Linked DNA regions of Lonchura striata. The protein of the gene in region 1 interacts with the protein of each later gene in a biochemical or structural test. Links are inferred from orthologs where the notes say so. Each region holds a gene or a part of one and is shown on either strand. Other genes may lie near its edges. The genes, in order: NEDD4L, SGK1, NDFIP2 and UBE2E3.

Region 1 (7,884 bases):
ATGAGCACAAAATCATTGGGCGTATTGTCCAATTGTTTTATACTTACTCAAGCTTGAATTGCCCAAATTACTGTTTGTACTTCTCATCTCTTTTGTGTCAATTAATTATGTCATGTTTGAGCTCACTTCAGCTGGCAATATGTATGGACGTTTATTCTGTGCATTTTAGTCAGGTTGTTAAAATTAAAATCCTTGGGCTGGGAGAACATTGGAAGAGTATCTTACCTGTTCCCAGGAATAACCTTTTCTTTTGGTTTTACTTTTGGTTTTTTTTTGGGTTGGTTTTATTTTTTTTTTTAATTTTTCTGTTTATTTCACAGTATAAATCTGAGAATATTCTTGGAGCCCCAAAGTTGCTTTTGTGATTAAAAAATACTTTTTTTCTCATCTGGGTTTAAATGAATCTTGAGAATGAAATGTTCTTCAGATTTTATTTCTATAGGTTCTCAATGATTTGTCTTTTAATCATCAAATTCTATTTATATTTAATGTCTATTTTAGGGTCATCTGACTCACATATCCTCTCACATTTGGTTTACTCAATAGAGAATCTCTAGATGGCAATGTATTTTTCAATTTCTTTTATTACATGCTTTTCTTTCTCTTTTATTTCCCTAGAAAACTGTCACTTGCATGTATGTTGTTATAATTGCACACCAGAAAACATTTACATTAGATGTAAATATAGTTACTTTTTTACAGACGCTGAACCCTAAATGGAATGAAGAGTTTTACTTCAGAGTAAGTTTCTCTTTATTTGTGGTCATTATTAGAACATGTACAGCTAATGTTATTTTCTATTTGTATGTTTACTCCAGAGACCTGCTTGCCCTGATGTACTTGCTGTTGTGTTTCTGAGGGGATGGAATGCTCAGCAGGAATTGGCTTGCAGGTTCCTTAGAAACTGTTTCCCAACCTGCAATTATATAATTGTGAAGGGCAGTCACTTTGCTACTCGGTTGCATACAACGTTCTTCCAAGGAATAGTTGACTTGTGACCTGTAGTGCAGCTGTAGCTGTACAAAAGCGGGTCAGGTAGGATTGCAGGGGTTTCAAACATTACCCTCGAGCAGTGCCTGAGGGCTGGTGTGGCAGATGGGAGCTCTGGGACAGCAGTGCCACCAGTGGAATGTTCCATGCACAGGCCTCACTGCCGTGGGGAGTGCTTACTGGGACACCTGCACCAAACAGCTTTTCTGGGGTTTGCAGCTGAGATCTAGAGTCTTAGGAAAAGGGAGTGCACAACCCTGCTGCAAAACCTCTGGTGTAGTTCACAAATGCTCTGTTAAAACATCTTGAGTGTCCTCAGCAATAACGGGACCTGTAAAGTAATTTAGACACTATTTTGTGTGTCACAGTTCTCTGATTTTCTCAAAACTGGGAAGTCCATCTCCAGCCCACAGAATTGTTGTATACTATTTCTAAATTTTCTTAATTCAATATGCTGGTCGTAGTAACCCAGCTTGTAAAGCTTCTCTGAAAAAATATATCAACTGGATCAAATGCTATAAAACTTGCTTAATAGCAGCTGTTTTGTCTTTCTGACAGAGTTCTTTTTATGTTTGATTTTGACCTTTTAAATGTTGGCAGTCTTTCTGCTTCAGTTTAAGTAAATAATTTTCTGGAGGTATATTTGCTGTTCAGGTGTTGGGGAGATTTCTGCTGGTTGTTCCAAGGATGTGAGTAATAAATGGGCTAGAGATGATGAGCAGTGGACAGTCAGAAACATATCTGAAGGTGAAATTCTGAAGGAAATGCAGCAAAATTCTTGCTCCTCATAAATCAGTCAGGGAGCCTTGATATTCTGTCCAGCCTGGGACTAGGGTCCTCTGCCATGGGAATGCAGGTAAAAGCTTTCATGTCAACTGCCATGCTCTTCCCAGTTGCAGTAAGGTTCTGGTGCTCCAGTTCAAGTAAAGATTTACATCAGACCTGTTAGTCCTGTCCTGTTTGCCTTGATTGCTGCCTGAGCTAGTACCCAGGTTGTTATTGTCCAGCTACTGAACTTGCAGTGACATTTGGATTTTCTCACAGGTAAACCCAACTAACCATCGGCTGCTGTTCGAGGTGTTTGATGAAAACAGACTGGTGAGTGCTTGTCTTGGTTATGTTCTGCTAATCACGAGGCTCCGTGTGCCCCAGCTGATAGAAATACAACACAGCTCAAAGGTGTCTTCGGACGGTTGTTTCAGTGAGCGTGCCAAGAAACACAAATAGAGGTGTAAAAACCATTTGAGTCTGGGACTGAAAGGGCACTAAAGTAGTGCCTTTCTGAGTCGGACCAAGATGGTCCTCCTCACCCTCACTCTGGCCTTCTCAGGCCTCTCCACTTCAAACCAATAAAGTCCTGACCTTTTCAGTTGCTGATAAAGGAACTGCTTTATCATTTTAGTGTCCCTTTCCAGTCCTTTAGTGCTTCTGCATCTTGCCTGGGGAGGTGGTTACCAGAGCTGCATCTTATGCGCACAGTGCATGCGTGAAGGTTTAAGGTCATGGCAGAATGGTGGGTTTCATCTCTGCCTCACAACGCTCACATGTTGTTAGTGGTTTCGTCTTTCCCTGCCTTTGGCTGATGCAGTAGCTTTTCAGGAGGAGGCTTTCACCATTGACTGCTGCTAGCTTCTGGAATAGTTTTATCCGTGGGAAAAGTGTCAGTATCCCTCTGTACATCTGGGGTTAAACGTGCCAGTGCGGTGGCACACTGGTGGATGGCTCTTGGGGGTTTGCCTTTTGAACATTGTAACACCAGCTCTGTTCATGAGATCAGGAATTCACATTTTCTGGGGTGGAGAAACTTGTTTGCTTGCTGAAGATAAAAAAAGACTGTAAAAGCATCTGTCTTCAACAAATAGGTTCTTTCCTTCTATCTTCCTCATAAATAAAGAGCAAAGGAAACCACAGAAGCTGTAATCTGGGGAGAAAAAGGACTTGGCAGCTGAATGACTGGATCTTTTCTCAGGAGGAAGTAAATTGGTGAACCGGTGGCACTGTGCCTCTACAGTGGCTGACCAGGAGCATATTTATTTTGTATATAATGGTTATAATGCCCACTTGCACTATTAAAACTGCCATGCGCCATTGGAATGCGAAGGTGCCACAGGAACAGGGAGGTCGGGTTAGAGAAAAAGCTTCTATGCATTGACAGCTGGGAAATTACAGGTTTGGGATACTTATTTCAGACATACTGCTTTGGATTTTCGAGTTTGGGTGTGCAATACCGGCCGTACTGTGGCAGTTTCAGCACTTTTTATTGTTGAAGTAGTTTGTGTGTATTCTCCTTCTGTTCTGCCTCCAAACTCAGTCTGTCCTTGGCCTTGGAACTTCCTGGCCAAAGCAGCACCTGGGGTTAGGAAGCATGGCTTTCCTTGCAGAAGGTCTGTGGCAAGCTGACTGCTTCGGGGGGTTTGGAATAGCAAGTTTCTATCAGGTTGTGTTTATAGAGTGAGGAGACGCTGAGCTGATACTTTTGGCTTTACTCTCACATACTTATTGTCAATATTTAAATGGCTTTTGTTGGAAGGACTTTGTTTCTTCTTGTTCCCAAATTACCAAAGCACACTCTGTCTTAGCAGGTGTCTTTGCCTTTCTCTTCCCCAGTCTCAACAGAGTAAATGTGATGCAGCCTCCTTTTGGATGCAGAGACCGTGTTATTGAGTAACATGTTTTAGCTGAAAAAAAAGATAAAATAATACCAACACCTGTGCTTCTATGATGCAATCTCCAGGACCATTGCTGTGTGGAAGCTGTTCACATTTTTGTTGCGTTTCATAACCCACATAAAAAATTGTGGGATTGTGCTGGTTGCTGGCAGTTTGATCAATTTGAGCTGCCGTTGCTCTTGGGATTGGTAGTTTTGTGGCTTTTGAAAGCAAGCTGCTTGTAAGCAGAGTTCAGATGTCTCAGCAGAGGACTGACCCGCCACATACAGGTTTTCAGAGCTTTTGACAAGATTTAGGCTTTCTAGTTCTCGCAGGGAGCAGCTGTCCAGGCCCTGAGATGGAGCTGCCTTCTGGTTAACCAGAGTTTTTCTGGTATGTGCTAAGAAGTGCGAGTGCCCTCAGGGCACTGAGTATCTTTGTTGTAGCAGAGCTGATTTAAGGTGGTTGGTGCACGTTCTAGTGTATCCTGTCTGCCTGTCCTTCTCCTGAGCTCTTCTGGCTCTCGGAGTGTAACTGTACTCTGTGCTGGCAGTGCCACGCGTGGTGGCATTGCTGACTCCCTCGCTGGAGGCCAGCCAGGAGCAGGCAGTTCTGTGCAGGGGCTGGGACAAATCAGTGCAAACAGACATGCAACACCCAGCTCTGCTTTTCCCTCACCTGTACTGCCTGGCAGATCTGGAAAAGGAGCTTTCTGACTTGCTGTCCTGCACATTTCTACTGGTTTTACTGTGTGAGAGATCTTTGCCATACGTATGATTGCTTTGTTGGTAATTTGTAGTTGCTCAAAGGGAACTGCAGGTTATATTGCTGCTGGGGCTTTTTAAAGTCAAAAGTTTGTTGCTTAATTTTGTTATGAGCACGGTTAAAATTTTAAGTGTAACCATGTTGTATTTATTCCTGTTCTGCCATGACAGCTCAGAGCTGTAACACACTAAAATGTTGTGCTTGAAAGAATTTTCCTCATTTGCATGTGGTGTTGATTTAAGCTTTTAACACAAAATGGAAGCATTTTGTTGTAGTTAGAGTTTTCTGCAAGTGCTTTCTCCCAAGTGTGCCCTGTGAATCTGATGTGGTTTAGATTTATAGCAGTGCCGAGTGTATTCGCTGCCTCAGTCAGCTGCGAGAGCTCTCCCTCTGGGGCCGCTCCTCCCTGATGGAAAAGGAGCAGCTGGGAAGGTGCTGTTTCAGGCTCTTGCTGGCATTAAAAAAAAAAAAAAAAAAAAAAAGGAAAAAACAAACTCCTCACACACTTACATTGGAGAGGGGGAACCAGGCCACGTGACTCCCACCATCCTACCCTATGTCACCGTGTGTGTAGGAGCGCTGACTGCTCCTGCCCAATCATGCCTGGAATGCTGCTTGCCACTTGGGCTATTTCTGCTATCTGTCGCTCCCAGGGCTGCAGTGCTAACCGATTGGCAGATGGGACACTTTTTCCTGGAGTTTATGTCTTTGGTTTTTAACTTCTGGCAGTGCCTGAATTGTTGCCGTTCTCCCTCTCCTTTTCTCCTCTCTGTAAAATCATGGCCCATCGGCTGCGGTTTCATTTTGGCTCTGGGAGAAGCAACACAGCCCCCGAATCGGAGAACCTTGCCCGGGAGAGAGAAGATGACTTTTTCATGGCATTCCACACCTTGCCAAGAAGAAGCAGCCCTCACGCGTTCTCGCGGCATGGACCGGATTACGGCGGCGACGGAGATTTGCACGAAGTGGGCTCCTTGAAAAGGAGCACATCCATGTTTATCCCGCAGCTGCTGAACGGCATCGACGCGCGCCCCACCAGGAGCTCGTCCATGCAGATCTCGCTCCAGCGCAAAGCTGCCGACGGCTGCGCCGACGAGTGCGCGGCCCCGGAGCCTCCGGAGGAGACGCTGCCCTGGAAAGTCTCAGACTTCAGGGAGCCGTATGCATCCCCTGTTGAAAAGCGCTCTTCTCCGAGCGCTCTGCAGGTGACTCCTGAAGGTTCTTCACCCGGGCTGACGGAAGAGTTGGGGCAGCAGACAGATGGAACTGTTTGCTGTAACCGTAGAATGTTCTGTAGTACTAATTCTCAGAGCGAGGAGGCTCTGCTGACTGCCCAACGACAAGAAGCGAGTGAAGCGGCTTCAGGTGTAAACATAAGCGGTGTGAGGATTCAGCATCGCGCCTCAAGTGCGGAGGTTCCTCAAGTTACTCTACTTCCCTTTGGTCCTGACGCTCCAAATAGCGCTCCCACCTCTGAGCCCCGGCGCTGGTCCTTGCAGCATGTGCCAGATCTGTCAGCAAATTCAGGGAAAAAGTTCTTTGTTCTCCAGTTACAGCAGCCACAGACAAGCAGTACGGGCGCAGAAGGTGGCAGTAACTTTGGCTTTACCGGAACAAAAGGGGACAGGTTGGTCAGGTACCCTCGGATACGGCTGGAAAGGAGTACTTCCTACCCTGTCCAGCCACCAGCAGAAGGAATTAGCCCCACAGGTGATGGGCTGAATTCGGAGCTGCCTGGAGACAGCAGGAACAGGGCAGGAATACCTCGAAGTGATTCAGTAGAGCGGATGCCTCAAGGGCAGGGATGCTTGTTTAAAATCAGACCAGATCAAAACATGAGGCAGCAGCACTTCAGAATTCTTGTCACGCGTGGGCCGGAAGAACAAAGTCAGGCTGTTGGTAAGGAGGGTCGTGGCACCCCTGGTCCTACGGCAGCCGGCACCGCAGTAAGTATGATGGGCGTGCTGTGCTGTGCTGGTAAAACACGGATTGCCTTACAAAGGCTGCCACACTGGAGCCAACTGCAGCACTTCCATTGTTAGCACTGGAATGTTCTGCGTTTCTTTGGAGCAGGCCACAAATTGTCTTTATTTCTAATCTAATGTAACTTCGCTCTTCGTTATGATTACATCCAGTGTAATATTTTCAGCTCTTACTGTCACGTGTTTCTTAATTCACATTAATTCCAGCTGTTACGTCAGCTGGAAAGATTTTTTAAAATCAGAGCATTCAAATAGCAAATTAAATGTTTCTGTTAGTTTAGTTGGCTGAGGCCTTGCTGCGTAGAGAACTCTTTGTGCACTCTGGTTTTAAAAACAAATACTTTGTCACTTTCTAAGTGTAATGGACACACGTGGACCTCTGCACACTTCTAAAATGTGTATTGTAATGAAATAGTTGCTAAGACTGTGGGAATCTTAGAGTAAGTTTAATCAAAGTACTGGCTTAGTTAAGGTACCAAGAAGTCTGGGGAAAAATAATATTTATTAGTAATTTCTTATACTAATCTTAGAGTAATTTTTCTTTCTTCCTTCTGGAAGTGAAAAACATGTCATGCCTTTTGTATGCTGCAAGTCCTGATCCAAGTCCAAGTGCAAGTGGTTTGACACAACTCAGTAAACAGTCTGTTTGGATTTGCCTTGATTTGGTGTTAGGATGGCAAAATTAATCTTCTGGGTTTGCTTTGTTACAGCAGGCGAGGATTGATGGCTGATGTTTTTCAGCCGCTTTTCCAAAGCCTAAAGTAGGAGCAAACTGAAGGGTTTAGATTAGTCATTTGCTTAAATTGCTTTGCTGTGCAATCCAACACGGCCCACTCAAGTTCCCAGCTCAGGGATGCTCTATTTAGCATTGCGAGCTCTGGCTCCAGCTGTGGCACGGTTGCTGAGGAGATTTCAGGCTCCATGGCTCCTGTGCTCCCAGGCTCTGAAATGCAGCACAGGGACAGCTGCTCCCTGCAGCAAGGCCAGGAGTGACTCTGCAGCTTTCCCATGGAAAAGCTTATGGACTCGGTGTTTTTCCAACCTTCTTTGGAGCTCTTGAAAGCGTGAAATAGAAAGAAATCCCTCCCTGGTACAGGTTTGGTTCCAGGACATGTAAAGGAGCAGAAAAAAAGTATGTCTTATTTTCCCTTTCCTCTTTGTTATCCCTTGCTCCATTCCAAGATCTGTTGTTCATGGAGACCCACTGCAGCCAGTTCCCTAAGTAGCTGTGGGGTGTCAGACCTAGCACAGAGGCAGCAGAGGTTTGCAGAGATGTGCCCTGGGTCTGTGCAACAGTTCTCATTTTCCTAAAGGATCTCCTCTCAAAGTCCCTGTTTTCATCCCCCCTGTAGTAACAATTCCCACCCCAAAGACTTGCTTCAGTAGTCCCAGAGGAGAACGAGGAAATCTGTTCCTCTGTGCTCTTGGTTTGAGTTACCGTGTTGAATGGATTGAGGCAGCTGTGCAGCATGGCAGGCACAGAGGTGCCCAGCCCACAT
Region 2 (7,956 bases), on another chromosome or scaffold:
GCCTATAGGATGTAGATTGATGTTTTCTTCCTGTGGAATAGGCTTTATATCCCCATCTCTCTGTAGGCTAAAAATGGGAACTACATATAGCTGGACAGAAGGGGATTTCAGCTCCCCTATGAAATATGGAACAATTGCTTCCAGGCCTGGAAGGATTTCAGACCATCAGATATTGTGTATGAATAGAAAGTGTTGTAAGCCATTTTTAAGAAGTTTGAAATGCTGGGGAGGAGTTAGATTTCCTTTTCTATTCAACCAGCACAAGCTGTGAAAGACTGGCATAATCAACTGGGTCAGGTGAAGGAAGGACTGGAGTGCTCTGGCAGGGCCCAACTCAGGACCTCTGGCTGTGCCATATTTCTGGACAGGACTGTACAGAAGGATCTTCATCCTTCGTTTCTCCCAGCTGAGGAAACACCCCCACCCATTTTCTTCAGTCTTCCTTGAATACCATGAGTGTTATCTTACTGCAGAAAAGTACCATGACTTCCCTAGGATCCTAACCTTAGTTTTTCCCTAAAAAAAACTAGTACTAATTTTGAGCAATCTTCCAAAGTGCTTAAATGCTTTTCTTTCTTCCCAACAATTTTATTGATGTTAGTCTTTTATTGCTAGGCATTGTATCTCCAGCTTTAACTTCTGGTGTGTGAATGTGGAGGCTCTTTGTTGGGGTTGTTGCCATGTCACTCAGTGCCCCATTCCTCACAGTGACTGGGAGAGCATATGGAGCAAGCACAGAGGAAGAATGGTGGGAAAATTTGCCTGACAAGCTGCACCATGCACTCCATGAGGTCTTGAGCTGCATATGATCAGGGGCAGGGATGTCAAATACAAGTAGAAACTGGGGAACAAGTGATGCTTGTGAGCAATACAAGATGAAGAACACGTGAGAGCTGGCCTAAGAGCAGTGTCCACACAACAAGACCAAAGCTAGAGGAGCAACCACAGAAGTGTCAAGAGCTGCTCTAAGGCAGAGCTGAGATGAAAGCCATATGGACATTCAACTAGACATTTCTGGACATAGAAGATGTTCAAACACCCATTCTGCTCTCTTCAGTTGTTGTTCTTACTTTCTGAGCTGGTCCTGGTGTACTCTGATAAACGAGCTGTGCCTTTCTTTATCATTGCATACCAGAGTAAAATATCAGTCATGGGTGCTGGAAACTATCCACCTTTCCCTGCCCACAAAGGAAGTGAAGGAAGCAGCACTCACAGACTGAGCAGCTGTGTAAGAACCCATAACATTCTAGAGATGATTTGCCACATGTGGTTTTGGCCCCTGCCAGAGATGTAAGCAACTTTGAAAGCACAGCAAAGGGAACTGCAAAAAAAGGGCTGTGATACTAAAAACTGTGACTTCATACTGAGCATTCTTCTCAGTCAGTGGGAGAAAAAGATTTAGTCTGTTAAGGTCGTAGCTAATTAAACTTGTCAATGTAATCTACTTGTTCTATGATAAACCCTGGATTGATTTACCACCTGTTATCTGTGACATTGCACTTGTAAGCATTTAAAAGCAAGGCAAATTATTGGTATCTGTGTTCATAAGAGGCACAACAAGAGAATGAGAATTCTGGCCCAGGCTTAGTGCCCCTTGCATACTACGTCAGTCAAAAGTTATGTTATTTCTTCAAGAAGATCTTCAAGAAAAACACCTTCATGCTCTCCCTGCAGGGCTGTCTCACAGGAATTCAAATGCTACCATGTGTTTTGCAGCTCTCTGAAATTCTGTAGCTATGATACATGTGTATTTCTCTCCTGACTGCCCTAATGAAAAACTTATTTTATCATTGCGGAGTATATGACAATTTAATGGGAACCGCTAAAGGGTGTTAAAGCATGCAGTACCTGTAGGACTTGTTTAAAGTGTTTGGTATATCTGGCAGTCCACCAGGCTGATGAAAGCCCTTGATGTTTTGTGACAATCACAATAAAGCACAGCTGAGTGTGTTGTCCTGGCTGAAATTCTTATTTTCCTACTCAATTTTTATGCCTTTTTACTGAAGTTAAATGCAGTGAACATGGATTTTTATGCTCATTTAAGGTTTAATTATGAAGCCATGCTTTTGGCATCATAAAAAAAAGTGAAACATTTTTTCTAGTAAAAATATCTCTGGCTTTAAATATTTGGCTTCTGGTGTAAAAACAAATATGTGGTGTTCCCTTTTTCCTCCTATTTTATATTTTTGATCTCCAATGCTAGATATAAGCTCTGCAGGCACTGAGTTGCACTCTGATTGATACTGTATTAAAAAAAAAAAAAAAATGTTTGGAAATAAACTCCTTGGAGGCCACAGAGTCAATGAGATTCCAGCTGAGAAGAATTCCAGTCAAAATATAGATATCCTGAGGAGGCCAAGGAGAGCTCTGTGTGATTCAGGGATAGTGTCCTAGGCCATTCCCCTTGCAGCAATGCACCTGCATCAAAAAATAACTCCTACAGTACTTTAAAACTATCACTATCAGGCTACTTAAAAAGCAGCTGGAGTTTTTTCTCTCTAATGGAAATTAACTTAAGGGCATAGTTTGTTCAGCTGAAAAGAGGCAAGCACCCAAACAAAGTAAACAGCCAAAAAGGTCTGGGGCCAAGGCCCTTGCACCAGGACTCATGAGATATCTTCGCAGCAGCAGTCTCCACCCCCAGCAGCCTACAGGGTGCTGGGTTTAGGAGGCTTGAAGGAGAATGGTGTTTCAATCAGCAGGCTGGAAATCTTATGGAGAAGGTAGAGACAACACAAATGCTTTTGTGAAAGAGAAGGCAGTGCCTGCAGGAGAAATATCTGAGGCTGAGAGACAGATCAAAGCTGTGGCTGAATAGATCAAAGATCTCAAAAATAAATGTACGTGCATAGCAAGCTGCCTGGTTTGCCCGAGAGAAAGTCATTCTTTTGACAATCATTTTCTTGCATTTCAGACTAGCCAACGAAGCATGTGGTGCTCAGAATAGTGAGAGACACCACCAGTAGAAATTGGGCACTCGCCATTGTCTACAGCTCTATCTGTAAGCAGCAGAATATAGCTCTGACAGCTCTAAAGCACAGCAAAAGATTATGAGAGATCAATAAGACTGAGGGATTGGCTGCAAGGTGGAGGAGGGTGGTGCTCACTTCAGGGAAGACTTGCTGATGCATATTGAGAATTCCGTATTTTCTAAAAACCTCCCCAATGTCCCTCTAGCTGGGCACTCTGAATTTCTGATCAGTTTTTAAGGGCCGGGCTGAATTGCTCCTTGGCAAAATCCATTAGCCCCAGACAGAGCAGCAGAGTGGAAAATTCCCTCTGTCCTTGCTTCAGTGACAATTAGTTATATAAAGTGAAACAATTCTGATGAGATATTGGCTTTTAATCTCCTTGCTTCAGACAGTCCTGTAAGAACATCCAAAATCAAGATTATGTCTTTTGTGCTGCTTGGACATTGAACTGTAGCTTCCCAATGAGTGTTCTCATTTGTGACCTGGGATCAGGCTGTACCTTCCCCTCATAATTTTGACCAGAATTTTTAACCTGAGCTCAAGAAATATTTCTCAGAGTATTATCGTGACTACTGAAATTAAATACAAAGAGGAAAGACAGGAAAAGGATGGGAAAGGATGGGAAAAGAAAAGGGAAAAAATGGCGAAATAGGTATGAGGAAAAGAGGTTTTGAATGAATGTTGTGGTACTACATCCTTAAGAAATTTGAAGTCTAGGATGAGTGCAGCCAAATTGTTTATAAACAGTGATGGAGAGCTAAAGGTACAAAGTTGGGAAATACATGTTGTTGACTTGTAAAAAAGGTCATAGCCTACAATCTGCTCAGCCTGGAGTCTCCAGTGAGTTGCGCAGGTCCAAAGACCTGTGGGATTCTCTATGTTCATAGTTTTACCTCTCTACATGCAATAAGGGGAACCTTGCACTTGAATAGGATATACAGCTCTTATTATCAAAGGATCTTCAAAAGAGGGGATAAAAGGGGCAAAGAAGAGTGACACAATATCTTCAAAGACTACTTAAAATTACTTCCACTGAAAAATGTGAAATGCTCAGTTTATTTACCTAAACATAGAGATGATTTAAATTAGACAAGTATCCTCATATCCTCATATATATATATATATAAAATACTTTATATTACAGGGCTGACCAATCTTGGAAGTTTTGGCTCGAGCGAGAAGCCAGATCAGTATTAGAAATTAGAAATTAGGTCCTTTCTTGAAACTGAGGTTTATTAACCTGGAACATAGGCTGATAGGAGGTCATGAAAACCCTATTTTATTTTCCAAACCTTTCTGGAAAATGTAACTTAATTAAGGTAGACTTTACAGTTCAGTTAAACACATATTATTGGATTCACTGGACTTGGTGACATTTAACTCAATTGAATTTAATAAAAAGGAAGTTTAAAAAGGTGCCTTTTCAAGATTCTTTCAGTCCTATTTCTAATGAAAAACCCTTTGGGTTTCAAAGATATATATCTATGTTTCTATGGAAATATCTGGACAAATGTGTCTGTGTCTGCTTGGGTCACATTTATCTGCACCACATATAAGAAATGTACTTTATAGGAACTGTGGGTTTCCTTTAAACTCATTGAACTATCTACAGCATGTCCTGTCACATAACCCAGTATGACATTGATCATTGGATGGGCTTTTTTCCAAAGTAACACTGTTTAAATCAGAACATAAGAAAAACATTTTTTTTAATTGACCTGTGTTTCTTTTCTTCTTACTCAAAGACTGTTCACCTATAAAATGACAGCTACCTCTGTCACTATCCCAGGGGAAAGATATTGCCTTTCAGCACTTCTTTCCCTGAGCCTTCCTACTACCCTTTGTATGGTTGTGTTTGGCTGCTCTGCCTGTGCATCTCTCCCTCGCTCTCTCTCTCCTTCCCCCCCCCCTTCCCTTCCCTTCCCTTCCCTCCCTCCCTCCCTCCCTGTCTCCCTCCCTCTCTCTCTCTCTGCTATTACTGAACTGCAGCTCCCACTGAAATTTGCACAATCAAAACCAGCTCTCATCTCAAACAGCAGTGAATTGCACCACCTGAAGAAGGAAAATAGCAAATTAAGCACGGTATCCTCTATGCTTATACAGCATGTGGTACCAGTAAATCTCACAGGATGGATGGACCCGGGTTTATGTGAGACCCACTTAGCCTGAGGTCTGCTGCCTCTGATCTGAGAGCTGTCACAGGATTTTACAGGAGGATATGTATTTAGGGGATGGTTTTAAGAAGCTAATAGAGAGCTGCATGTGAGAGCTGCTGCTGCCACTGTGCTGCTGCTGCAGTAGCTGGTGCAGCAGGATGAATGTGTAAAGGACAGCTGCCTGAGCCATGCCGGTGAGTCTCCTGCCCTGCTCTGTCTTCATTAGCTGAAAGAATACAGAGGAAAACAGATGCACTAACAAGTGCCACACTGGCACACTGGATCTATCACTGTGTACCCTTCACTGTGGAAAATGGTCAACAAAGACATGAATGGATTTCCAGTCAAGAAGTGCTCAGCCTTTCAGTTTTTTAAAAAGAGGGTAAGATTTTCCAGATTTTCCTTTAATTCTTTTTTTCTTTTTTCTTTTCTTTTATTATTGCTGTGTTTCTTACTCAGCCAGAGTAGAGAGAAAGTCATTGAAGAATGAAAGTGCTTTATGTTGGTCTTCTACTTTATGGAGCCCATGGCATGGGCAGTTCTACTGAACACCAAGGGTAATAGCAGTGTAGGTGAAGAGGAGCAGGGCAGGGGGACAAGGCTGGGGGCTCCAAAGGCATTACATCAGCACTCTTTGCTGTGGAATGTGTATCTCTGTCACGGCTGACCCCAGGGCTTGACGCAATACAGGCAGCTATTCTGGCTGGGATAATGCACTCCAAAGCAGAGTGCAGGGATGTTGCAGCTTGCCTCTGACTCGCTGCTCCACATCCACCTAGGGTTATGACTCCCTCCACACCTTCCATTTACTTTCCTGAAGTGTAGCATTACCCTCATCCATTCATCATCTCACAAAGTAGGGGGAAAAAGAGAACAAAGAAGCATTTGTAAGCTCAGGAAAATACTTCACAGTTTCTAATTTGACTGTAATCATAATTCATGCAGGAGAAAAGAGTAAGACTGAGCTACACCTGGATTTGATTTTCTTTTATATTCTTTAACATAGATACATCAGGATTCAGAAAATATTTGCTATGCATTTTATTCTGTTTTTCTCCAAGAAATGCAGGTGTAACTCTATCTCGTCGCTTTAGCTAAGTCCTTTCTGTTTCTTTGACTCTTTTCTAGTGACAATACTGCACACTCTTTATTTACTTGAGAAGCAGTCATTTCCATGTGGCATCAGGACAGGTATTCTGAATAAATCTGGGTAGACCCAGACAGCAGAAGCAAAGCATCAGAAAGAGATTGTTAGCAGGGACTACACTGTGGAAAGGATTTCCTGAGTGATTAAAACGACAACCCTCTCTTTAAACAGACTGGAGTAGGAGCAGATAAGCTGCTCCATTCACTCATTAGTTCATTCATTCATTCATCCTCATTCATTCACTCTCCCTCCATTATGCCAAGAATATGGTCAGTTCTTTTAACCCTTCAGGCAAAAATAATGAAGCCTACACCAGTAACTAATTTGTAAGCTGGGGTCAAACCCTTTCAGGCACCAAGATGCCACATTTAAGGGCAGATATAGAAAATACTAGCTGGGTCACTCAGAGGAAAAAAATGCAGTGTTAGCCAACAATTGTTGTTTCCAAGGCAGTTTGTAGAAGCCTCAGACTGATAACTCAAACAGCACATAAATTCAGCCCCTAAAAATGGTTGTCATCCCAACATGCTTCTCATTTAAGTACATTACTATTGGCACATGTTTACCTGATACTCAGCTTACCAGCAAGGTTATCTGTTGTTTTTTTTTTAACTGCTTGAAGATTTTAATATAATTGTATTATTAAAGAGGAAAGTAACTGTCTTGCAATTCCTGTATAAGGTTCCTGTATTGTCAACTGTCTTCTATCTTTTTAGAGTCACTGAGAAGTTATCACTGGAAACCTCTACCTAATTTTGTTCTATAAGAAGGGAAAATTGTGATTTCTGGGTTTTTTCAGACCTACACTGGTAATCCATGAATTTACAGTTGAAAGAGATTGTTAATTGTAGTCATAATTGAGGAAACTGTCATACTGATACAGTCCTGGACAGTGGAACAGGACAAATAGCTGCCTTTGGTTTCTGAATGTTTTCATTTTAACAGATGCTGCCTTTTTGCTATTGTGATGAAGATAGATGAAATCAGTAAAACCAATTTAGAGACACAAAGAAGGGAATTCTCTCCCTATACTTTTCTGTTAATAGATATATGTGTTCATTGATGTTTCTCTTACCCCTCTTACCTTCCTTGCAGAAAATCCCCATTGTCCAATGCCAGTGTTTGAAACACACACAAACAAAAATAGCTATATGCTCATAATGTGTTGCTGGCTCCCAGAAATATATCTTGCATTTGCTGGACTGGTGATGTGTCACATGTTAACTACTGTGAGAACAAGGAGAGATGGTTCAAGAGTTTATTTGGTCTCCTGCCAGTGATCTGGACACTCTGGCTGAACCACCAGAATCCTGGTGTATAGAAGCACATTTGTGAGCTTTCTTGGTCTGAGTGTAGTGTGTGGTAGAGCTGTTTGACAGTTTGCATCCCCACAGCACCAGTGCACCATAACCAGCAACCCAGGGGATGCATCCTCCATCCAGAGTGGGAGGCAGGAATTGCACTGCAGAGCCTGGCACTCCTGGCTGCTCGGTGAGGTTACTGCTATCCCTCTTTACTGAAAGATGCCTGACACACAGAGAAGGTCATTTGTTATCTGGGTACTGAGCAGGCTTGTCCAGATCACCAGCAGGGTCTATGATGAAACAAGGGCTGGGGCTTCAATCTCTCCAGTTTGAAATCACTGCGTCTATCTCCTCAAAAGCACATATTTCTAGTAGAG
Region 3 (7,925 bases), on another chromosome or scaffold:
AGAACAACTTCAATCTGGCACACACTCGTGTCTATTCCTGTGATTCTCCTGCTTTAAACTGACTTCTCTCACATACATGGGCCTCTCCAAAAAGGTGTGACTTTGTAGGTCCTTTTTTTCTCATCGTTAGACCCTCCTCTGTCACTGGTGTGAAACACCAGCAGTTTTTACACTCATTCTTCATTCTCAATGTGTCACATTATATGGAAATACATTTTTTAAGAAGAATCTATTCTGAGAGACAAGCACACACTGCTTCAGCCTTTATTTATGGACTCTGTACCATTTTCTCTAGACTAATAGCTTACTGCATAGAACTGGCTAAGCAATCATCTTGCAGAGGCAGCTCATTATGCTTTTTCTTTCCCCTTGCAAATCCATTGAGCTGTACTGAAGAAGCTGTACTGCTGCCAGTGTGAGCATTGTCTCCCTGAAGTTGTCTGAGGCCTTCTTAAAAGATGGTGTTCCTTCACTTCTGTGGTGTCCTGCTTTAACTGTGCTTGTAGTCAGCAAAGGTAATTAATACAGGCTCTAAGGGAGACAAGAGAGGTAGGGATCTAACCATGCTACCGGCTTAGACAAAGTACAGATGTGCAATGCCCAGCTGTGAGGAGTTTGTCAGAATATATCTGAGCTACTTCAGAACTGTCTCTGTGACTAGCAGGAAATAGCTCCAGCAGTAAAGAGATCCATGCAGGCTGCAAAATCTGTCCTAGACCAAGGCAAATATTTGAGCTATTTCCCAGCCTGACCTCTGTGTTGCAGTAATGACTTCTAAACCTGGTTCAGACACATCTGCATGATATCTAGACATATCCAAAGGCTAGGTTTACAGGACTGTACAAATGTATATACACACTGAACACAGATGATGACAATGCAATTGAAAATCTACTTTGGGCCACAAAATCTTAAAAAATCTTAAAAGTAGCCCATTGTTACTGCTAATGATGGCTTTGGCATTGCCTATGTTGCCTAAAAAAAAAGAAGAAAAAACGAAGAAAAACAAGCCAAAGTCCTGCTGTTTCTTTCTAAGAAATTCAGTCCCAGTGGTTTGTTTAAGCTAACTTCCTGCTTAAAGTAGCTATCTAAGCCCATAGAGAGATCACAAATTTGTGCAGGAATATAGAATTAAAACCAAATAGCTTATAAAAGGAGTTTGAAAATACAGAGGAAAATAAATACAATCAATAAATTCACAGACCACAGGACTGGTCCATGAGTAAATTAAGTACATAAATTTAATTAGATTTACATTTGGGAACAAAGTATTTATTTCTCACTGACATGACCTGTATTAGAGATTTAAAACCACATGCTAAAGGTGTAAAACAGAGTTTAAAAAAGTTTACTTTGTTTTCCAGGTTTTGGATAGGTATGTAGGCTTTTATTTTTAATTTTTTAAATTGTTTGTATGGTACAGTAAGTAAAATACTATAGTAACTGCTATATTTACTTAAAATAATACAAAATTATATACTATAAATGTAATATAAATATTTTTATTTTAACCAATATAAGTATTTGGTTTATATGTCTTTATTAAGATAAAATTAACATACTTTTGAAATCTACCTACTCTGTAAGTTCCACAAGAAACCTTAAAAATTTGAATAGGTTTATACAGGTGAAGAAATGTAAAGATAAATACTGTGCTTTCTTATTTGGTGGCCAGTGGTTGAATAATGAATGAAAACCAGATTAAAATAGCTAACAGTCCTTGCCTTTGTGCAATTAAGTTCAGACTTGTCAGAATTCAGATGCCATCTTTCAAGACAACTTTTCACAGAACTGGGCTTGCAAAAGCAAAAGCTTGTTACCAAGCAGAATCTTTTCTTGGCTCATTTTCATGGTGGAACAAAGTTTAAACTGTTGTAAGCTTGCTGACTAACAGCAATTAGATTTCTTTTTTCCTAAAAAAAAAAAAAAAAAAAAAAAAAAAAAAAAAAAAGTCTGAAGCAATACTTCCTTTTAAATGTAAATTTGAAACTATTTTGATTACATGCTATTTAGAGTACTATTTCTGTTTCTTTAAATACAATTCTTTGACAGAAAACAAATATTCTTAAGGATACAAAATATAGTCCTAACCCAATACTGTTATTGCAGGCCTATTAAGGTTTAAGAAGGTCAAAATAAAAAAGTAAATCTTAAGACTAGTATTCAAGGGTTTTAGTCTACAGGACAGTCCACATGATTTTTCATCTAAGTAATAAAATCCTAGCACTTCTGAGAGACACATTTCCTGGATTCAGTATATATTCTGCACAAGAGATCACAGAAGAAATATGGGCTTATGGGAGAGAGTCCAGCAAAGAGCCACCAGGGTGATGAAGGGACTGGAGCATCTTTCCTGTGAAGCAAGTCTTTGAGACCTGGAGCCCTTCAGCCTGGAGCAGAAATGCCTCAGAGGGGACCCCATCAATGCATATAAATACCTGAAGGGAAGTGCTTAGCAGATGGAGCCAGGCTCTCCTCAGCAGTGCTCTGTAACAAAACCAGGACAATGGGCCCACACAGAAACACTGGAGGCTCCCTGTGAACTTCAGGATTTTTTTTTTTTTTTTTTTTTTTTTACTGTGAGAGTGACTAAGCACTGACTTAAGTTGCCCCATGGACTTGTGGAGACTCCATTCTCAGTGATATTCAAAACACCCCCGGTCCTGGGCAGCCTGCTCCAGGTATTCCTGCTTGAGCAGATAGCCTCCAGAGGTCCCTTCCAACCTCTACCATTCTGTGGTTCTGTGATTTTAAGGAACCTTAGTGCTTGCTAATTGCTTTGCATTATAGATTAATATTATGCCATGGTCAAAACCTCTGGAATCCGACAGTTAAATTAAAATATACAGATAACACTATTTTGAAAATACACAGATCTGAAAGAAATGCATGCTTTTTTTATATTTTGATGTTCTAGAAAGAATAAGAATCAAAAGAAGGCATATTTAAAGCCTAAATGAGTCACATGACCTGTTTTGTTATAAGTCCAATAACTACACTTATATTCTTGAAGTAAAAAAAAGTTTAGTCTCTGTATATAAGCTAGACCATCCATCCAAAATTTGTCCCTACATATGAAACTCCCTCTCCACACACAAGTGTATTAACTCTATTGAATCTGCTCCTGCCTCCACTGACTCATTTCCCAAGCACTATGGAATATTTGCCAATTTTCCTATTAAATACTCTTTGGTCCTTGCCTATTGTCCTTTCTTCCCTTCATGTCTTCTAAAAGACATGAATTGCATGAGTTCAAAACTGAAGGTTACATCTTAATAAATGCTTACTCAATTGTATTCCGACATTTGCAGTGTCAAATTCCATTTGGCAGCTTTTAACTAGTTGGGGTTTCTAGGACAGTGCATCGCAGAGCTGAGACACAACACTTAAAAAGCCATGGAGATCAGATGACAACTTCCTGAGCTGAGATGTCACATGCAACGCTTCAGAAAAAGTTTACTTTGGAGAAAATTGTTGCTAACGATACAGAAAATGTTAAACTGATTACAAAATTGGTTCAATTTCTATGTTTCGTGAGATCTGGAAATATAATTAAGAGGTTTTGGTAATGGAAACACACTGCAACACTCTGTACAAACTTTCTTAAAATCAAGATGATCTTTACTAATAACTGTTCCTTTAAGAACAGAATAATTAAACATTTATTATGTATAATGAAGAAAAAGGAGAAAAATCCTGTTAGGAAGATAATATTATTCAATTTCTAACCTATAGAAACTCATCCATTTCTAACCAGCTTTGTTTCCTAACTGCTGGTGCTTTTGATGTGCAACACAGTTGTGCAAGAAACAAAACAAATGCAACAAACAGAAAAGGCCTGAACTTTCCAAACATATTTTTCTTTTCATTTGGATAGCTTTAGTAACTGCTGCATTAGCCAGGTATGGGCTGCAAGCACGGTTGCAGGCACACACACAACGTCTCACGCTTCCACCTCCTCCTCCCCTATAATCCTGCCTATCTTCACTCCCACCCCCAGCTAGGAGCACAACTCCAATAATGGAGCTCGCTCCGCTCCTCTGCCCTGCCACGCTCCCGTACTGGCTCTTCCCCCCGCTCCCGCAGGTCCTCACCCAGCTCGCCAGGGATGACTGCCCGCACAAAAACACTCACCCTGCTGCTCAGGTCAGCAAGCAGCTACGCAAAGGTGATGACCTGAGCTGCAGGATAAAGTTCTGCGTGCCGGCCATTAGCGATAGCGGCTAGCCGGTTTTGTGAGAGCATTTGCCTTGCAGATCAGCTATAGAGCAGCACACGCTGACACTCCTCCCCACTGCAGCCAAGAGATGGATCTACGGCTATGTGAAGTTGTTGCGTGCCACAGCTACATCTGGCAGTTTGGGAACCTACAAATGAGTCAGCTTCATCCCATAGACTTTTATGGGTGCAGGCGTTTTTGACTGATTTTACTCCAGGAAGTCATAAGCATCTGAATATTTAGTTTTAGGAAGAGAGAAGAAGAAAATCACATTTCCTTGCCACAGAACGGTGTTCTGCCTTCACAGGAACAGTAAACAAACGGACTCAGGATTCTTAATAACTTTACGTAGATGCCTATTCAAAATCGCTCTCCGGGTCCGCAGTATGTCTTCTGTGCTATATTGTACTTCTTGCCCCGAGGTGATCAATAGCGATAAATACCCAGGCAAGGCCTGGGCTTGGGCCATAACAGCCTTAGAGAACGCTGCTGCCGAGCGAACAGCGGGGAATGTCGGAGAAGCCCGGCTCTGGGCAACCGCGGCAGGAGCTCCCCGGGCCGAGCGCGGCCGCGGGCGGGGCGGGGCCCGGGCGGGGCGGGGCCCGGGCGGAGCGAGCGCGGCCGCGGGCGGGGCGGGGCCCGGGCGCTCCGCCGCCGCGGGGGCGGGCGGGGGGCGGCCGCGGCGGGGCGGGGCGGGGCGGGGCCGGGCGGCGGCGGCGCCGGGCGAGCGGGCGGGGGAAGAAAGGAAGGAAGAAGGGAAGGACGGAGCGGGCGACGCGGCGCCGGGTCGGAGGAGCTGCGGCCGCGCCCGTGCGTGTCGGCGGGTGGCCAGGATGGATCACCACCAGCCCGTCAGCCGCTACCAAGTGGTGAGCGCCGCGTCCCCGGCGAGGCCCCGCTCGCCTGCCCCCGCCCCTGGGGCCGGCGCGGCGGGCACGGTGCGACCGGGGCGCCCTTCCCTCCCCCCGCTTCTCGGCTCCGACGCGCGGGGGTCTGGCAGGGACCAGGACCGGCACCGGGCCCGTCCCACGGAGGGGCTCTGACAGCCGGGCCTTGCCGCGGAGGGGGCGCTGCCCGGCCTGCTCGGGAGCCGCCTTCGCCCGCCTCCTCTCCCGCGGCCCGGGCTCGGCGGGCTTTCCCGGGCGCTCCCCCTGCCGGAGCGGGTGCGGCTCCCGGGAGAGCGGGGCCGCCGGCGGAGGAAGGGGCAGGGGTCCTTGTCTCTGCTAGGTGCGTGCTGCGAGCCAACCTCTGCATCCTTGTGGTTTCTGAAAGCCCGGAGCTGTCTGGCACAGGGACAGAGTGCAAGGCCTGTGTGAAGATTAGAGCGAGGGAGGGAAGTGTGAAATGCAGGGAGGAAACTGACCTTCAGTGTGTGTGTCTGTGTGTATGCACATGCAGGAACAGGCTATTCTCAGGAACGGTCCGCAGCTTTGTGAGTCACTGAGACCAATTTTTCTTTTGTTCCCGAACCTTACCACGGAAGTAATAATTTGGAAATCGAAGGTTTTCATTCTGCCCGAATTGATTGTGCTGTTTGTTTCTCGCAGTTTAATGTCAATTACATAAGTCTTGCAGTCATTACCTTAAGGTCAGTTTTACTCAAAATATGTAAGCTTTCATCATTACTGGATGTAAAAATTACTTAGGTGCAGTCAGTCTCCTCAAAAGTTTAAATTTTTTCCTTAAACCCGTTGTACTTTATAGCCTTGCTCTGAATGTAAAGATAAGGAAGTCTGAAATCTTATTACTCTCTATGATTCAAATTTCTACTGTAATCTTCTAGCTAAATCCTGAATTATTTATCTTAATATTTGTGTTTTACAGCTTGAGCAGTGAAAAGAATGTCCACAGAAGTAATCACACATCTGTGCATATATAAATAGTACTATTTATATTCAGATTGTTCCTAGGTTATGATTTAAGAAAAATAACAGGAAACAATTTTATTATATTTGGAATATTTATTTTGATAATCTTACAGCACTGTAAATTTCTGTATAGTTTTGGGCACTTAGATACAGGGATTGTCATAGAGGTGACAATCCTGTGACACACCCTGTGATGTATTCCTTTAGGTTGGTAGATGGTCACCAGCTGCTTTTTTTGTGGCACCATGCTTCCATAACTTGAACTCAGTAGAAGTCCTGAAGTCATTCCTTCTTCTCTGCAACAGAGAAGAAAAATGCTGGCAGAGCATTTTCTTGAGAGCCTACAAACACTATCTTCCTCAAGGCCTGAGGTAACTTGGGCATGTTTTAAAAGGCTTTGAAAGCATATGTTATTAGAGGTCAGACAGGTAGAAGGGAAACTTTAATTTAGTTACTCAAAGGAGTAAAAAAAACCACATGAAGAAATAATTTGTCTCTGTAATATTTTTATCCTATGTTTATTAGGAACTTCCAGTGATGGTGCTGATGCCCAGCTTTGAGTAAGCACTATTTGGTGTGGCCTTCCAAAAGGGCTTAGCTTAATGTTTGTCTGTATGAGTTGGCCTCCTCAGTTTGCTGTGTACATTAAATTGTGTAGTCATTTGTTATAAATCAGTCTGCTGTGCTCCAGAGTTTAAAATACAGCCTTACTGATTACTGCCCCATGGGAAGGAGCATATTGTTTTAGTTTTTTGTTATATCTGACTGCTGAAGACTGAGATTTTTGTCATGTTGTTTACTTACTGTTTTGGGTCAGAGAAAGGAAGGAACAAGGCAATTGCAGATATACTTAATTAGCAGCTGATTATTCAAGCATGTGATCTTAAGTGTTGTGATGTATTTGCTTACATAATGGCTGTGATAGGTACTGAGCAGTAGATTACCACAGATTTTATGGTTTTGTCCTAGTTTTTAAAGACAAAATGTAGGGGGAAAAAATGACTTAATATGGTTAATACCATATTTTATTACTGTTTTATGAATTTAGTTTTATGAAATCTGGCCAGTTCTGTTGTGTTTGATGTATTTTTTTTTGTTTTGTTTTCTTTTTTTTTCTCCCATGTTTAATAATACTTTTTGGCCCAGCTTGTACCCATTCTGCCTCTACTTCTAGCTAATCTCTTTGACTCCATTCAGGGCAAACTCTCTTCTAAATAGAGAGATTTTTATGTGTATATTATTATCAAAAGAATTACTGACTTGTGTTTCCTGGCAGTAGAACTTCAGTGAAGTTGAAGGAGCTATCTTTCTCTTTTTATTTGTGCTGTCTTCAAGTAAGTTAAATTAAAAGACTTTAGTTGGGCAGGCAATTTAGTTTTGAGTTTTAGCACAAAAAGCCAGTTCTATGACTTCTTATGAAACAGAAAATGTCTCATCATAAAGCTAGCCCTCTGCTTTACTTATTTTTATCTCTGTTGGAAATAGCTCTAAAGCTTCATTCTGTATCTTGTTCTTTGTGTGTCTACATTTTATTTACAAAGCAGTTTAAAAGTGTACAAATCGGGCAGCTGTTAGAAGCTGGTACTTGGAATTGCAGCAAAGTAAGTTGTGCGCAAAGAGCAGGCAGTACGTCAGCATTACGTAACTCTCTGCCGCGGGCATGTGTGATTTGTATTGCTTTCTGGCCCTCCTGTTTTGTCTCTCTTCGTAGGGCAAAAAGACAAATAATTGATGGATAAGAATTTGTCATGCTTCCCTGCAGGAGTATGACATTAGAAGTAAAGTAGCCAACCTTTGTTGTCTTGCTTTACTTCCTTTTTTCTTTTCCTTAGTCACTT
Region 4 (7,233 bases), on another chromosome or scaffold:
AGCTTTCCAAGTAAAATGAAAACTACAGCAATTAAATGCTGGTAAATTCAAGCTGCTTTCAACAAAAAGTAAAGGATGGATTTTTTTAAAGCACTGATATTCATTTGACATGCACTGCACTGAATTCATATGAATGACTACAGGAACTACAAAGGGGCCACTGTGTTTCTAACTTGCATCAATAATCCACATACAAGGAAAGAATTTACAAAACAGAACACAAGAACTCCATGGGAACACCCTAATACAAACATATCCACGTTACTCTGTGCTCTGAAACCATGCATTTATCTGTTATGTTTTTAAGTACCTAATGCTAGTCTGCCCATTAAAAACCAGTAGCCAACTGACCATTTAGCCTTCCAGTGTGTAATATACAACTGTCAAATACAGCATATGCTGAACAGTAGGACTTATGGTTTACTTCTTAGGATTATGATGAAGATTAATTAATATATGTGGTGCTTTAGTGCATGCTAAGTATTTTTCTATGGATTTAGATACATTCTATGGATTTAGCAGTATTCAATGTAATAAAAAAATCCCAGCTAAACAGCTAACTCCTGTGTTAAAAGAAGTTGGCAAAATTCTCTTCCTGATTTATTCAATCATGCAAGGATTCAGAGAAGGAAAGATATCCTGAAAAGTCCTGTAAGAATCCCAACTTCCAGGCCTCATGACAGGCTGCATTAGAGCAGTCTCAGGATTATTGCTGAGCTACAGCAGCCTCCAGAAAGTCATCCTTCAAACAAGAACAATTGAAGCACAGCAGTGTTCTGGCTCTTGCCTTCATCTCTTCCGCCCAGCCCTCTTCCAATCCTTCCTCCACCATATTCCCATGCCAAACTTTGTATGGTGGCAACACAAAACTAACAGATGGGCTGAATACCAGCTGACAAAGGGACCAGGATGTGGCTTTCTAATGGCTGGTTCCTGTCCACTGCCACATTGACTTTATTTCTCAAAAACTTACCTCCACTGTTTTTGTAAATTCTTGAGAACACAAATGAAGTAGGGACGTTGTTCTTTAGGGGCTTATTTTTCCTTCATAAACCCCAAAGAATCCACAGCATCACAATGTAAGAATAATCAGAGTTATGGTGAAGGCACAACAGGATGAGCTGCAGCTACTGCAGGCTTCCTGTACTCCTTTCTGTAAGTCACTACATGCCTTCTTGGCCCAAGATTTTTGCATTGTCTGCTTTCCTAGAACTCTCTGTTAAAACTGTCAATTGTCTTGGGACAAGACACACTGAATATTTGAAAAAGAGCTACCTTACAAAGAGCACTAGTTTCTACTGTGACATTACCTACAAACAAAAACACAATCTAAATCTTACCCCATCCACTTAAAAAAAAAATAAATTGTTCATTTCCTGGTTCTCCAGCCTGTCCACATCTATCTGTAGCACTGCAGTAGGGTGCTGTAGTAGGGGTCCAGCAGGGGCTTTAACACAACCTGGAATGGGAATACACTTAGGACAGAGAGATGCATTTCTAGATGATGAATTTACTGTCAGGAAACTATGACTTTTTAATAAAAAAGATGAAGTACACAACTGTAAACTGTTGAACTGAGTTGAACTGCTCTTAATCATGAAAAATGTATGCTGGCTTTATTTTACCACCTGTACGCCCTTAAAATTATTTGGGTCAGGAGATCCAAATGCTTTTCACCTAGTTTTGGTCCCATTGTTTGCTATCTAAGAACTTCATGTCAGATGGAGGAGACCCAGCTGTGAACTCCTAAATCTAGAAAAATATATTCAGAAGTCTGTGCAGTCCAAGGCAACTGTTCAACCTCTGTGTGCTAACAGAAACTTCATATCTGTGCTCTGACAGAACAGGGAGGAAGACAGACCCAAAAAGATACTGGGCTTTTGAAAAAACCAGCTACCAATCTACCACCTTTGCAAACAGGGCTTCTAAAAAAATAACCCAAAGAAAACAAAAGTAACAAAACACAAACAAGAAAGGCAACTGGGAAAAAAATGTAGGCCTCAGCCTGAGTGCCCAGGAGTTCCTTGGGAAGGCTCTGCAATGCCAGCTGCACTTCCACAATTTGAGCACACAATAAACTGACAGAGAAAACACATTCATGACTCTGTACATCAGTTAAAATTACACTGAAGGCAAATTATGAGGGATATGAAAAATCACAGAGGTGTAGATTTGTAACAATAACTACTAAAATTGGCATTTTTCCCTCTCCTTCAAACTGCACCTTTCAGTGCAGTCCTCTTTATGTGGATGATAACACAGAAAGAAAACATTTTCTTTCTGTGAATAACAAATGAGCCCAAGGAAAATACAACCTCATAAGAACAAAGTGTCATCCTTTGACACCTGACGTCAAATTAATGAATATTCAATCAAATAAATATCTGTTATGTCCACACATTGCTGTAGTAAATTCATTTTAAAATAGTAAAAAATGCTGGGAAAAAAAATAAAATCTAGAATAATTTTTCTATTAGTCTCCATTAAACGGGCTTTCTTAATTTTCACTTTGTATCCTGAAAGCCACAAAAGCCACACATGTAGCTGATGTGGTGTGCAACTCTTGGCCAATCTACTTACTTTCATTCTGTAGATGTACACTTTTCTACTACTTTTTTTTGGGATGACTGCAAATTTTCACCTGAAATAATTTTAAAGACTTAATCCTGACTTTCAAAGTTCCAGCAAGCTTCATCTTGAGCATCATCAACAGAATGGGAAGAGGGGAGGGGCAAAGGCTCTCAGTGCTGACTGATAGATTTTTGATACTGCCTTGCTTTCCTTTTACTAATTATGCCCAGATTGCTCATCATGCCAGATACTGTTTATGCTAGGAATTTTATACAGCATACCTCAGGGGCAAATTGCCTGTAGTGGTGAGCTGGGAATTCTCTATAGCCTACTTTAAGAAACAAACCTCCAGTATTCCCCTACATCGTATTATTCAACTTTCCTGCCAAATCTTCAGCATGAGCTAACTTCAGCTAACGCCAGTGAAGGGTACTCCTTGACGCACCAATTCTTCATTCCCTCTAGAGCATGGTACATGCTCTTTGAGCCCTTGATCTTGCACAAGCTAAGAAAACACAGCAGTTTTAAGTCATTAGGCTGTTGATGATGAAAGCTATCTAGGCAAAAGCCCTTGTGCTGGACAGCAACTGTTAGCCTTGAGATTTCATGTACATTTCACAAATATTTATAGTAATTGTTAATTTCTTCTCTGCAGAAGCCAGTAATCCACCAGCTCAACCTCATCTACTTTTCCCAGATAGATAAGATCTTTCTAAAGAAACTGGAATTTAACGCCAGCGTGATCAGGCTCTAAAACTGGAGTATTTACATTCCCTAAATTGGTGGATTGCTATGGACAGATAGTGTGAGAAGCTGTTCAGCGCACACCGGCACCGTGCATTTGGGACGGGCCAGAAAATAAGCTGCATCTCCGTACCATAGCACCTTTCTGTGACACCACAATTGTTGTCAATTATCCCCTTTCCTCTTTAAAACATTTGTGATTTGGCGCGCTGGTTGCTCGCAGAGCAGCCCTGGTTGTGATGGTGAATACTTCTATTCAGAGTGGGGAGGCTGCAGGGTGGCCGGTGTTTTTCCAGCTCCAAGAGCCGAAGGCAGGCGTTGGGGGTGTTGGGGTCGAGGGTCCCATTCCCGCGTGTCCCTGGCCTGACGCGGGGCGCGCGGCACGAGCCGAGGCGTGCGAGGTGCGAGGCCGAGGGCCGTGGACACCGCACGACCCCCGGGCATCGCCGTTCTGCCGGGCACCGGCCCGGCGAGTCCCGCGGCGGGCCGGAGGCTGGAGCCCCCGGGACCGGGTCAGCTGAGGGCTGCGGGAGGCGCCCGGCCGGGCGGAGCGGCCATCGAGGGGCGATCCCCCCCCCGCTCCCGGGCCGCCGCTTTGTCCTTGCCCGGCCCGGAGCACGCGCGCCCCCGGCCGCGGCGGGAGCGCGCCTGCGCGCACCCCGGCGGCCGGCAGACGGGAGCGAGCGCCCCCTCTCCCCTCCCCCGCTCGCCGGGAGCTCCGCCGGCGGCCGCGGGCGGGCGGGGGAGCCCGGGCGGGGCGGGGAGAGCCCGGGGGGCGGCCGGGCCCCCTCCCCGCCTCCGCTCCGCCGCGCGCGCCCGCCGCCCCCCGCCCCGGCCTCCCGGCCCGCCGCGGGAGCCCGCGCCGCAGAGCGGGGCCCGCCAGCGCCACCCGCCGGCCGCGGGGCCGCACCGCGCCTCCCCCCGTCCCCCCCTGCTCCGGCTCTCAATGTTCCACACTGCCCGGCCACAGAGCCGCCGCCGCCGCCGTAGAGCCCCCCGGCCGCCTCCGTCCCCTCCTCGGGCGCCGCGGGCCCGGCCCGGCCCCCCGCCATCCCGCCCCTCCGACCCAGCATCGGGACAGGACGCCGGCGAAGGTAAGGGAGCGGCGGGCGAGGCGGCCGCCGCGGCGGCTGGGCGAGCGCGGTGGGGGGAGGCGGGGAGGAGGCGGGGGGGCTGGTAGAGGAGCTTTGTTCTTGTTTTCGGCGCTCGCTGCCTGGCGGCGGCCGGGGACGCGGGGCCGGCCCGAGTTCACGCCTCACTTGGTGCACACGCACGGTGCGGAGCGGGGCCGGGCGAGCCGCCGCCGCCCGCCGAGCCGAGGCGAGCCGAGGCGGGCTGGCGCTCCCCACAAAGCGCGGCCGGGCGGCCGCCCGGATCCAGCCCTGCCGCAGCTCCCGCCGCTCCTCCTCGGGCCCCCCCGGCCGCCGGGGCAGCCCCCTCCTTCTCCCCCCCGCCCCCCCGCCTTCCCGATCGGCGGAAAAATGTCGGTCTGCCTGGCGGAGCTGCGGGGAGAGCCGTGCAGAAGGTGCAGTTTGAATTATGCTTCTTCCCCCTCCGGCAGCTCTGTGGTGGCCAAATGCAGTTCTCGCTGCTGGCCATGTAAATAACCGGGGCTGCTGCTACCCCAGTGGCTTTAAATGCGTCGCGGGGCTTTTCCCCTTACCAAAAAAAGCCCTACCACCGATAAAAAACCAGACCTCGTTCCCCCGCGTGCCAGCCCTTTAAATGCTCAGAGCAAGTGTACATTTCCATCTGAAATCAACCCAAGTGTAACTGGCAGTGTATTTTCTCGGAGAGAGGGGAAGAGTGGGGGATCTGGACCCAATAAAATGCTCTGTCCCAGTGTAAATATTTACGGGTTATTAGTGACTTTTTAAAAAACATTTTCAGTGAGGTCTGTTATTTACAGTGTGTCATAAGTTATTAATGCTCATTGCCTAAGTACTCTGCTAAATCTGTCTCATGCCTTAAACAAAGTCGACAATTGGCATATTGTTTAAAGTATGAAAAAAAATGTGAGTGGGTTTAAAAATTGGAAATATCTGTATTTTCAGAAGTGTAAATATTGCTTTGTAGCTGTCAAACTCCAGCCCTTGTGTATGAGACAAAGAAGTATATTTTGATTAATTTCTCACTGAAACTGACTTGTCACCTATTCAAAGTTTTCTGGGACTTGGGGAATACCAAGAGAGAGTCCTGCCTGTTGTATGAACTCTGCCTCTTTTCTTCCCAAAAAAAGTTCTGCATGATGTCCAATGGTAGGCAGAGGTCAGCGGAACTTGGGGAATGACAAGAGAGAGTCCTTCCTTGTGTATTAATTCTGTCTCTTTTCTTTCCCCAAAAAGTTCCCCACGATGTCCAGTGATAGGCAGAGGTCAGACGATGAAAGTCCAAGTACCAGCAGTGGTAGTTCAGATGCCGATCAGAGGGATCCGCCTGCACCTGAACCTGAAGAGCAAGAAGAACGAAAGCCCTCTGCCACTCAGCAGAAGAAGAACACCAAACTATCCAGCAAAACTACTGCTAAACTATCTACTAGTGCAAAAAGGTAAAGGAGGGCGTGAAACGTCCTGCAGTATTTTTGCACATAGTTGGAGTCACAGTACTTGCACTGCGCTTGTCAGGGCAGAGGCATTCTTCTTGTAAAGCTGTGTGGAAGGGAATGTACTATCAGCTTTGGTAGTTGACAGGAGCCTGCTAAGCAGTGTTTTAATTAATCTAAGTCTTGTTGGGGTAGCAGTTAAACAGAATAGTGCTATGTCTTTTGAAGAGTTGGTGCAGAACTTGGTGACTTACAGGGTGACTGGGAGGGGGGCACCTAGGTACATTTTGTATTTTCAAAAATGTGTGAGAGATCTTTGGTGCTTTTTTCTGAGTTAGGTTTCCATGCCTGATTGGTATAGGGTGGAGTCCTCCTGGAATATTTTATTATGGTTGGTAGACTGATGACAGGCAATGCTGTCTAATTAAAGAAGTCATAAAACCCCAGTGGCTTCTCTGGGCCTTATGAGAGCTTTTCATGATGATGCACAGGAGAGCCTTACACACCTTGAAGGAATGGGTTCATTCTGCCATTCTCCTGGGAGAAACTTAGGTGAGTTTTCTCCCTTAGGAGCTGTGGATTTAAACCTGTGACATTCTACAGGTAGCCTCTGCCTTTAAATATAAGAATCTTCAGAAACCTCGTTTAGTTATATTGGTTGCACTTTCATTTGCATATAAGTTTATTGGCAGCTGGGCTCTCAGGAATTACTCTGGTAATTTTCTCAAAGATCAGCTGTGTGAAATACTCAAACTTTAAATTCTTTAATTCCGGCTGTCTTTGGAGATGAAACATAACTTTCCAGTCCTTTCCTTGGAGTTGCTTTTCTTTGAAAACATTTACAAGTATCCAGTAGCAAGAAAAGTTGAAAAATAGCTGTAGTTAGCTTCAAATTTTGCTTATTCAGCGTAACTATTGTAGTTCTGACTTTTATGAGCACTTTAGTAATTTTGTATTGGACTTAAACTTAGTAAATTCTTTTTGAAATATGTTAAAATTGTTGCAGAGAATGGCTGCATGCCTTTGATGACTTTTGAGCTTGTTAAAGAAACCCTTTGAAATAGGACTGGCTAAAGAGAAAAAAGTTTTGCAACTACTGTGCAGCACTTGTAATTTGTTGTTACTTGTCTTTTATTTGACAAGCCTAAGATACAGGGTTTTGACATTGAATTTTCCCATATTGTCTTTATTTCATTTAATTGTTGCAAGTGTAATTCCATGCATCTCACATAATTCAGTAGGCTTACTGAACTTATTTAATGTTAATGCAAGTGATGTTAATGCAAGGACATCCAGAGCAGTTTCTGTTAGCTCACCTTTTAAGGCCTGCTATTTGCATGAAATTCACAGTATTGCTCTTATGAGAAGTCTTAATT

What was found.
Region 2: of the proteins of NEDD4L (region 1) and SGK1, one has a biochemical effect on the other in vitro, tested with the Homo sapiens proteins (5 studies listed by BioGRID). The link is inferred for Lonchura striata from reciprocal best matches to the Homo sapiens genes NEDD4L and SGK1.
Region 3: of the proteins of NEDD4L (region 1) and NDFIP2, one has a biochemical effect on the other in vitro, tested with the Homo sapiens proteins (2 studies listed by BioGRID, with this or other methods). The link is inferred for Lonchura striata from reciprocal best matches to the Homo sapiens genes NEDD4L and NDFIP2.
Region 4: the proteins of NEDD4L (region 1) and UBE2E3 form a complex in vitro, tested with the Homo sapiens proteins (3 studies listed by BioGRID). The link is inferred for Lonchura striata from reciprocal best matches to the Homo sapiens genes NEDD4L and UBE2E3.

What each region holds. Positions count from the first base shown.
Region 1 is NC_134642.1:459,431-467,314, reverse strand, and holds the start of NEDD4L (E3 ubiquitin-protein ligase NEDD4-like), read left to right. Parts: upstream 1-4,883; 5' UTR 4,884-5,182; coding exon 5,183-6,349; intron 6,350-7,884. UniProt on the Homo sapiens protein: E3 ubiquitin-protein ligase that mediates the polyubiquitination of lysine and cysteine residues on target proteins and is thereby implicated in the regulation of various signaling pathways including autophagy, innate immunity or DNA repair.
Region 2 is NC_134605.1:58,639,742-58,647,697, forward strand, and holds the start of SGK1 (serine/threonine-protein kinase Sgk1), read left to right. Parts: upstream 1-4,941; 5' UTR 4,942-5,441; coding exon 5,442-5,510; intron 5,511-7,956. UniProt on the Homo sapiens protein: Serine/threonine-protein kinase which is involved in the regulation of a wide variety of ion channels, membrane transporters, cellular enzymes, transcription factors, neuronal excitability, cell growth, proliferation, survival, migration and apoptosis.
Region 3 is NC_134604.1:47,832,185-47,840,109, reverse strand, and holds the start of NDFIP2 (NEDD4 family-interacting protein 2), read left to right. Parts: upstream 1-4,920; 5' UTR 4,921-5,052; coding exon 5,053-5,088; intron 5,089-7,925. UniProt on the Homo sapiens protein: Activates HECT domain-containing E3 ubiquitin-protein ligases, including ITCH, NEDD4, NEDD4L, SMURF2, WWP1 and WWP2, and consequently modulates the stability of their targets. As a result, may control many cellular processes.
Region 4 is NC_134610.1:23,812,954-23,820,186, forward strand, and holds the start of UBE2E3 (ubiquitin-conjugating enzyme E2 E3), read left to right. Parts: upstream 1-4,218; 5' UTR 4,219-4,409; intron 4,410-4,788; exon of another isoform or gene 4,789-4,840; intron 4,841-5,660; 5' UTR 5,661-5,669; coding exon 5,670-5,863; intron 5,864-7,233. UniProt on the Homo sapiens protein: Accepts ubiquitin from the E1 complex and catalyzes its covalent attachment to other proteins. In vitro catalyzes 'Lys-11'- and 'Lys-48'-, as well as 'Lys-63'-linked polyubiquitination.